Linked DNA regions of Yarrowia lipolytica. Each later gene encodes a partner of the first gene's protein in a complex. Links are inferred from orthologs where the notes say so. Each region holds a gene or a part of one and is shown in the gene's direction. Other genes may lie near its edges.

What was found.
Region 2: YALI1_F34625g (region 1) and YALI1_E32754g share a complex: the UniProt entries of both Saccharomyces cerevisiae proteins name them as parts of the multi-subunit COQ enzyme complex. The link is inferred for Yarrowia lipolytica from reciprocal best matches to the Saccharomyces cerevisiae genes COQ4 and COQ11.
Region 3: YALI1_F34625g (region 1) and YALI1_E18269g share a complex: the UniProt entries of both Saccharomyces cerevisiae proteins name them as parts of the multi-subunit COQ enzyme complex. The link is inferred for Yarrowia lipolytica from reciprocal best matches to the Saccharomyces cerevisiae genes COQ4 and CAT5.

The regions. Positions count from the first base shown.
Region 1 is NC_090775.1:3,461,124-3,464,075, reverse strand, and holds YALI1_F34625g (uncharacterized protein), read left to right. Parts: upstream 1-1,502; coding exon 1,503-2,291; downstream 2,292-2,952. Other genes in the region: YALI1_F34631g (uncharacterized protein), read right to left, coding at 1-945. UniProt on the Saccharomyces cerevisiae protein: Lyase that catalyzes the C1-decarboxylation of 4-hydroxy-3-methoxy-5-(all-trans-hexaprenyl)benzoic acid into 2-methoxy-6-(all-trans-hexaprenyl)phenol during ubiquinone biosynthesis.
Region 2 is NC_090774.1:3,274,073-3,277,321, reverse strand, and holds YALI1_E32754g (uncharacterized protein), read left to right. Parts: upstream 1-1,803; coding exon 1,804-1,846; intron 1,847-1,894; coding exon 1,895-2,661; downstream 2,662-3,249. UniProt on the Saccharomyces cerevisiae protein: Component of MIOREX complexes, large expressome-like assemblies of ribosomes with factors involved in all the steps of post-transcriptional gene expression. Component of a multi-subunit COQ enzyme complex required for coenzyme Q biosynthesis.
Region 3 is NC_090774.1:1,825,744-1,828,914, reverse strand, and holds YALI1_E18269g (uncharacterized protein), read left to right. Parts: upstream 1-1,954; coding exon 1,955-2,533; downstream 2,534-3,171. Other genes in the region: YALI1_E18291g (uncharacterized protein), read left to right, coding at 1-296; YALI1_E18281g (uncharacterized protein), read left to right, coding at 816-1,376; YALI1_E18258g (uncharacterized protein), read left to right, coding at 3,117-3,171. UniProt on the Saccharomyces cerevisiae protein: Catalyzes the hydroxylation of 2-hexaprenyl-3-methyl-6-methoxy-1,4-benzoquinol (DMQH2) during ubiquinone biosynthesis.

The DNA.
Region 1 (2,952 bases):
ATTTCGATGGAGACGATAAGCAGCAGATTTGATTGCGCTCAGCTTGGCCTCTATCGACATAAGAATGGGATCTTTCGTATCCACAACCACTCGTTCCACCTCGCTCACCAGTTCTCCGTTGTAAGTGATTTTGGGGGCTGTATTGGAGGCTACCGGAGCTCGTTTGAAGAGGTTAGTGAGAGCAGCCAAGTTTGCGGAAGACGAAGAAGGTGAAGGGTTCTGCGAGGGAGTTCCAGCTCGACTGATGCCTCGGTCCACAACATGCACGTCCACCACAATGGCACACTTGGCAATGTAAAACTCGACAATGAGTTCTGGAGGTAGGTTTGGGTTGAAGCAGTCAACTGGAGGAGTGTTGGGGAACAGCCAGGGTGTGGAGTGCGGAGTTCCAGACAGCGAGACGGGGATAGACTGACTGGAGTGCGAAATGTTGGGGTTGGGTGTAGCACATCGCGAGGTGTTGTTGCTGGGGATTCCTCCAGCCGGTTCAGTGGGTTTCTCTAGCAACACGACAGGTGAGTTGATTGACGCCACGGCTTCGTTGATGTGTTTGATGAGCGATTGGGCTACTATATTGAGGTACTGTGGATCTCTTGAGCCGATAATGGCGTCACATTGGTCCAATGCTAGGCTGACGTGGTTGATACAGCTGTCGATCTGGCTGAGTTGGTATCCGTCTGTTTTTGGATTGATTCTGACTGTGAACGATTTGTTTTTCAGTGAATGGAGTTTCAGTTGGATGTCAGTAGCGGTAATAGCAGCTCCACTTCGACAGACAACTCCCTTGAGTGTTTCCGAGGCGTGCGATGAGACGGGTAGCTTGAACGGAGGCAAGGGCGAGTCTTCAGGGGCTGTGAGTGAAAGCAGACATTGCTTCAGACCGTTGGAAATGGTCTCTGGCACTATTGTTTGCAGATCGTCTAGGTACCACGATAGATGTGCCATGTTGTGATGTGTGGTTATGGCTGGAAGATTGTGTCTGAGCTGCACATCGAATCATGAACTTACCAGCGCAAGTACATACTGTACCGAAAGCTTGTAGTGATTTTTGACATGAAGGAAGGAAGAGAAATTTGCATAAAATGGAATATTGAAGATATGATATGATGAGGTCTATTAGGTGTAACTTACGTTTTCAATGTTCGAAGAATATATATATATATATCACTTACTGTAGGTACAAGTACATACAATGTAGGTCGTATGAGGGTTGTTCAGTGATCATACTATACTGTTCATGCATTCTTAACTACAGTCCTCACCACAACATCGTTCTGAGATACCGGTAGTCACAATTTCGGGAAAAAAATTACCATCCAAACAAGTCTATAACATTTTTTTATTAATCTGGACACTAAATATTTCCCAATGGTCTACCCCACTTGTGTCGTAGCTAGAGCACCTGGTACACCACACAGTTGCTCATCTTGATGCATCAACTTTATCTCTCACATCAGTCCACCAACTCTAAGTGAATCACTTTCTCTTGCAAGCGTACAAACATGTTCCGAACGGTGCCCAAAACCACACTATTGGCGCCAATTCAGCGCCGAACGCTCTTAAACGGCAACTACCCCAAGGCATACCCCGAACACGTGCCTCTCACGTGTCTGGGACGAGCCGTGCTTGCTGTAGGCAGTGGGTTCGGCACCTTTTTCGACTCTCGACGAGGCGATCTGGTTGCCACTCTTGGAGAAGCAACCGCCCAGCCTTACTTCATCTACAAGCTGCGAGAGCAGATGCTCAAAGACCCGACCGGTCGACGTCTGCTGCGCGAACAGCCCCGAATGACCAGCAAGAGTCTGGATCTCGACAAACTGCGAAACATGAAGGTCGGAAGCATTGGACGAACATACGTGGAGTGGCTGGACAAGGAGGGGGTCTCACCTGATACCCGAGCTCAGGTGCGATACATTGACGATCCCGAGTGCGCTTATGTCATGCAGCGATACCGTGAGTCCCATGACTTCTACCATGCCCTGACGGGTTTGCCTATCATCATGGAGGGTGAGCTGGCTCTCAAGGCGTTCGAATGGGCCAATACAGGTCTGCCCATGAGTGGTCTGGGCATGGTCCTCACTCCTCTTAAGTTCAAGCCCAAGCAGCGCAAGCGGTACTTTGACGTCTACCTTCCCTGGGCTCTCTACAATGGCTTCCGATCCAAACCTGTCATTAATGTGTATTGGGAAGAGGTTCTGGAGAAGGACGCCGAGGAGCTGAGACGAGATCTTGGAATCGAACAGCCTCCGGATCTCCGACAGATGAAGAAGGATATGGCCAAGAAGAAGTGACCAAGGGTTGCAAGTATATAAGTTATAGTCAGAACGAAGAAATTAATTTGGGAAGGGGTAGAGAAGGTGCGATGAAAACGATATTGTAAGAGAGTACCCTGTGGTACCGGTACTTGTAATACTGTAGTGGTGTTAGAAGGTGGTAGTTTGGATACGTGATGGAACTCTGTACATAGGATACAATATGCAAGTTTTACCTGGGTAATGAATCCCATTCTGTGTTTTTCATCTTCCTGATCTATCGAAATTATTAAATGCTCACACTCTGTTAATTACACTTGTCAAGCTGGGGTCACATCGTTCTTTGTTGAGACACTTAGACTCAATCATCGGACCTCTTTCCATAGAGTACATACGTACCTGGGAGAGAGGAGGTATTTGTATCGTAGCGAAAAGGAGGACTTCTAAATGCCGATTTCAATACAAAAAAACAAACAATATCAACCTGAAAAAAAAACATAAACAATCCAGCACACGAATACACTGACAGTAAGACTCCGAAACCCCTTCTCACCTCCTCGGCGCAACTCTACTGAGCTTAGTCAAGAGCCCTCGATAACAACCTTATATTGCTTCTCCTCCACGTCACTTCACCATTCTCTGACATCACTACATCATCACATCACATCACCTCACATCTCCACACTCTTTTCCAAACAGC
Region 2 (3,249 bases), on another chromosome or scaffold:
CTCTTCTGGGGCTCTGATACGCCCCCTACTACGTCCCATTCCTAAAGTGTTCCGGCAGCAACATCTCATGCGCGTTTAAAAAGATTTAAATGCTGAGGTTAACGGATCAAGAGTTCAACTCCAAAAACCGTTTAGGCAGCTTGAAGGGCTAAATAATGGTCATGGACAAGCAAAAGAATGGACAAGTTAGAATGAGGGTTGGGCTCCGATCTTGCCGCGGATCAGGTCATTTTTTATAGCTTCGAGGTAATAAAAAGAAGATTGGAAGAGTACAAGTTGGCTTCGTAGACTTCCAGAGAATGCTGTCCGATACACTCTTGGAATAATTTGGTGGAGCGCTATACAGGCAAAACACACGCAGTTGCTCGGAAGCCAAACCCGAGAAAAGCCAAGAGACACTTTAGAGACCCGATGATACGAGGGCGAGGCTGAGCATAACCGCAATGATGTTACATGTCGCTTTGTGTCGTTCAGCCGCTTCGAACGCCGGGGCTACGCTGTGTTTACTGCCAATTCCAGCGTTCCTGCTTGCTTCCGCTTTGCTCGCCTACCTTTGCCACTTCTATGCGAGAGGGTCTCAAACATGAAGCCTATTGCCCATGGTGAGAACCGCAATGCAGGGAACATGAATACGGAGGTGAGAGTGTATTTATATCGTTGGCCGAGCGCCCTTGGAGCTGCTGAGTAGGTCTTTGTGTTCGGCACGGCACTTTGCGGCGTAGAGCTGCAACGCGCAAGAAGCTCTTGTTAGTGCAACTTTGTGTACATTGGTGCGCGCCCCTAATACATGACGTGACTCGGCCGAGCTAAGGTGGATGATGGTTGGTTGCGACAACGTGGTGACACTCTATGAGGCTGAATACGAGCACGTAGAGTGCGGGGCTGTGCACACATGTTATTTGATCAATCAATATATATCCGCCACTACTTTTCTGTGCAGGAATATCGCAGCTTTTGTATGCGGTTGTGCACTACTCGTACATGTGGGACCCTCTCTACCAAGCGTACTATCACGGACTGGAACTTGGTGGGGCAAGAGCATCCGGAATAATAAATTGGTGGATTCCGGAGGGGGTGGAGTGTTGCCGTATATAGTAGTTTGTTGGGTTTTGGTGCAAGGCTCAAGGATACTGTGTCTATCCCCACACTTCTCGATCGGCTATCTCTCCCCGGATTGCTTTTCTTGGCGATGGGCTATCTTTTGATATCCGATGATATCATGACAGTTGGGGTCCCCTGTAGGCGCCTTCATAATACTACTTATAGTACCCCGGTGAGAGTCGAACCCAGGAGGAGGTTTGTTGAATTAGTAAGCCACGGACATGTGAGCGTGGAACAATACTTGAGTTATAGCAAGGACTGACGAGAGGAAGTGGCACCTGCTTTGTGGCCTGGGATATTACCTTTGGGGCAGGTTGGAGCTACAAGTACAAGTACTTGTGCCTGGCCTGCGTATCTTGAGGAGGAATCGCGCCCAGACAACTTCACTTGAAGGGGCTATATGGAGCCTTCCTAGCTTGTGTAAGAGAGACGACTTTGCCATACGGTTGCTAAGCCGACCAAGCTATCCATAAAAACACAGCACCAGTATCTGTAGCCAATACCAAGGATAATCAGCACACCAACATCCATTAGCTGCCATCCAATACAGCATGTACACAACCTACCGGTATCTACATACCCACTACCATCACCACATCCAGTCAACGCCTCAACAACCCGCATCACACACGCAGCACAAACCTTACCACCGAACCTTGTCGTATCATCACAAATTATCGAGTGTTACCACCACAGCACATAATGTCGAAAAACCTCGTTGTCTTTGGCGGAAACGGATTCCTTGGTAAGTAGCAAGTCTCAACACACACCTCACACACAGCTGCTAACACAGGACGACACATTTGCAAGCAGGCCCTCTCCAAGGGATGGGCAGTCACTTCCATCTCTCGATCTGGACCTCCCAAGAACGCCGAGAGCTGGATGTCCAAGGTCCAATGGAAGCGAGCTGACGTCTTTGAGCCCTCTACATACACCAACGAGCTAGAGAAGGCGTCGGCAGTGATTCACTCAATGGGAATCTTGCTGGAGGGCGGCAACTACAAGCAGGGACTTAACGGAGGAGTTAAAGACGCCCTGTGTGGTCTCGTCAAGGGCTCCAATCCTATGGCCAAGGACCCAAACTTTTCCTACGACAAAATGAACAGATTGAGCGCAGTTCTGACGGCAACAGCATTTGCCGACACTGTTCCGATGGACGAGAGAAAGCCCTACGTCATGGTGTCTGCCGAGAAGACCAGCAATCTCATCCCCGATGGATATATCACCTCCAAACGAATGGCAGAGACCGAAATCTCCGACCTCACCAACCTCAGATCGGTGTTCCTGCGACCCGCATTCATGTACGAGTCTTCCGGGGACCGTCAATTTGGCATTCACAAGTCTACACCTCGAGACGCTCTTGCCGAGGCTTTAAAGGTCGGATTCGGCGCCCAGACCGTTGCTCGATCCTTCTTCCCTGCTCTTCCACAGTTCATCCAGCCTCCTCTCAGTGTCAACGTTGTTGCGGAGGCAGCGGTAGATGCTCTGAATGAGGACATCGAGGGAGTCATTGCCCTGGCTGCTCTCAAACGATTTAGTGACTCCAAAAGTAGAAACTAATGTAAATAGATCGTGGAAATGATATGAGATACGACAGACTGGTTAATGGCAGGCCTACTGCCGATGTAAGGGTATACTTTTCACATACCTTCACATCAGTGTTACTCGCGTAAGGACCTTTAGAAGATATTGAGACCTGCCACGAAACTGGTACCTGATAACCACATCCTTCATACCAAAACAATTACTACTGTACTTGTACTTGTATCTGGGTCTGAATGCACAAGTATATTGCAAACTGCATCCGTGACCCCTTCGATGATCGGCGTTTAGTGGATGTAGCATAGTGACTGGATTCATCATAACGGACACAGACTTTTGAGTATTTGTACTGCAAGTAGTAGTCGCGAGTTTTTTATGATAGTGCCTGGCTCTCAGCAGTTCACTTTATTTCAACACCTCCTCACAGCTACTCGGCATGTCTGTATAAGACGCATACGAACGAGCTCTGTATCAGAGACAGGCACGAGCCGTATATTACCTGCTTAGCTCGACGATGCGCTTGACACTTGCTATGACTCAATAACCATTGGGACGACTAATATTGTGCTGCGGTACAATAATTTGTGTAGTGACAGTGTCGCGACC
Region 3 (3,171 bases), on another chromosome or scaffold:
AGTCTATCTTGATTGCTTATGAAGAATACGCTGAGGAGGTCGATTCAAATGAGCTGGATGTGGATCTAGCTCAAGGCGTGATGAGCTTGGAAATCCCTGGTGCTGGATCCTACGTTATCAACAAACAACCCCCGAACAAACAGATTTGGCTAAGTTCCCCCATTTCCGGCCCCAAGCGTTATGACTATGTCGACGGTGAATGGGTTTATCTGCGTGACGGCACCACCCTAACAGAGCTTCTGGAGACCGAAACCTCCGAAGCATTTGCTTCCACTGGGAAGAAATTTCATCTTTGAGAAAGCCTGTATATAAGTGCATAGATTTAATCACCTACCTGTAGTATATGTCGAGTTGTGTCTAACCCACAAGAAAATACAACGGCGCTATTCAATCACACTTGTATGGTACTTTTATGTTCGGGGTGACAGGTGGGGTTGTACATACTTACTGTCTACGATACTGTACCACCATAATCTTGTTGAGAGGTTGTGCAGTTCCCCGGAGCAAAGGCGCGTATTACAAATCTAAATATCATGATATCGCTCGTAGAGGCATATAATAGTGCGCGACGAGTTTATTCCTTCACCGTATTCATTGCTTGTAAGGTCGCACGTGAAGGATCAGTCATACACAGCCTCCGGTCACATTTGACACAGCCTCCTAATTACCCTGTGTGTAGTGCAGTAGTAAACTTGGCCAAAACTACCCATACCCAAATCTCAAATCCCAATAAAGTCTGACCACGAAGTGCAGCGATCGAAACGTAGCTAGCTGTAACACGGCATCTTCAGTCCAGCCCAGGCCTCAGCAACGACATGCCAAACGAGCCAACTCCCCCCAGCGTCCCCGATGGCTGGTTAGCCAAATGGGACCCCAACTACAAGACTTTTTACTATGTCGACCTCTCCAACGGAAAATCACAGTGGGACAAGCCTAGCGGCTCCGGTGGCCACAGTCCGCCATCATACGACCGGCCTCCTTCTCGGGGAAGTAGCCACAGCAACAGCAACAACAACAGACCTCACCAGGAGCAGCGTGGATATGGTGGTGGTGGTTCAGGCCCTCAAGGATACGGCGGGGGACCTGGCCCTGGTGGCTTCGGCGGTCCCCACGGTGGCGGAGGTTATGGTGGAGGACCGGGCCCCGGATATGGCGGAGGGCCGGGCCCCGGATACGGTGGCCCTGGACCTGGTTATGGCCCTGGACCTGGTTATTGGCCCCCCAGCCCATGTACCAACAACCCCCGCCTCCACCTATGTATGCCCAGCCCCCGCCTATGCAGATGCAGCAGCAGCAACCTCACAGACGAAATTGGGGAACTACCGCCATGGGTGTTGGTGGTGGTCTTCTTGGTGGTATGCTTATTGGAGACATGATGAGTGGCCACCATGATGGCGGTGACACGGTTGTGAACAACTATTATGACGACAACAGTAACAACAACGACGGCGATATGTATTCGGGAGGCGCTGATGATTATGGTGGAGGAGACGACTGGTAATATAGATAAGCTTGTTTTTTTCGATAATAATTTGGTTCTCGTAGCCCTTTTACTATGTTTTCTATTCACCCTCTTCGTCTTCTGGCTCTATGCTTCCCATCTACTGTAAGCCGAGTTGCTTACTCAGATCACACAGTTAAGGTTCGTTATCATATGAGGTGGCATTTGAGTACAGATTAGTTTTCATCGGCAGCAAGTGAGTTCCGAGTCATTGAGGGTGTCCCCGTGTCTTGACAATTGAGGTGGGGATATGTAGAGAGCAGCCTACGATCCTGGTGATGTATGTGCGATTTCAATTTGGGGACTTCTATCATGTGCAGCGTCCGACATCCTGTTCGAGTCTTACACCTGCGTCGCAGCAGAGTGCGGACTTGGGATGAATGAATTTGGACATGAGCCGACAAAAGTTAACTTCACCACCTTACGCATCTTCTCTCAGTCCTCCAAACAGACATGGCCCGACACGCACTCAGTAAGGCAGAGGCCTCGTTTATTACCAAACTCATCCGTGTCGACCAGGCTGGAGAACTTGGTGCGGACCTTATTTACCGAGGTCAGTACATGGTTCTCAGCCGAACCAAGCCTGAGATCGAGCCTCTCATCAAGCACATGTGGGAGCAAGAGCAGCACCACAGACGAACTTTCAACGAGCTTCAACAGAAATACAGAGTCCGGCCGTCTCTGCTTACCCCGATCTGGAAGGTTGCAGCAACTGGTCTAGGCTGTGCCACGGCCCTTCTTGGTCAAGAAGGTGCCATGGCTTGCACTGAAGCCGTAGAAACTGTTATTGGTGGACACTACAACACTCAGTTGCGATGGTTACACGAAAACTTCCCTCCCAAGGAAGAGCGGTCCAAGGACGAAGAGATCACCTCTTTGAAAAGCATTGTTAAGCAATTCCGTGACGAGGAGCTGGAGCATCTCGAGATTGCTGTGGAAAACGACTCGCATGAAGCCAGACCTTACTGGCTTCTCACGGAAACCATCAAAGCAGGATGTCGAGGAGCCATTTGGGTCGCCGAGCGAGTTTAAGCATCTGTATATAAATATGTATTAACGAATGTACGAGTGGAAGGTGAACTATTTTTTAAACCCCATCATCTCCTTAGCACGATCCTGCGCCGACTCACTCGAAAAAGTCCCTGAGAGTTCCGCAGGGACATTTTGCATCCACCCATCCCGGTTGGGATTGTGAGCAGGGTCCATATTCACCCATGTCTTGCTTCTGCTCCTCTCCTCTAACCTATTGAGAGCCTCTGTCTCGCTGATGTTGGGGTTACCTGTTAGTGATGGACCGAAGTCATCGTCGTCTGATGAGTCTGCCTCTTCGGACAGTTGCGGTCCAGCCTGGACCACTTCAAGGGCACTGGCAGCTTGCTGAATTCTCTTCTGGCGCCGTTGTAGAACCTCCCCAGGTATGTCAGGACCGTAAGTCATCGTACAAGAAGTCATGCTGTAGCTGTCGATCACTGTGTGTTACCTGTTACTGTACTTCTATAGTTAACACGCTTGTACTCGTACCAATAAAACAACCTCCCATCAAACTTTAAATCGAGGGTTCATGCTTCGTGTGCGTTGACAACAGCAGTAGCACAGTCGACGAGACACCACAACCATGAAGTTTTTCGCCTTGCTGTCGGCGCTGTCCGCCACCGCTATTGCCTCATCCG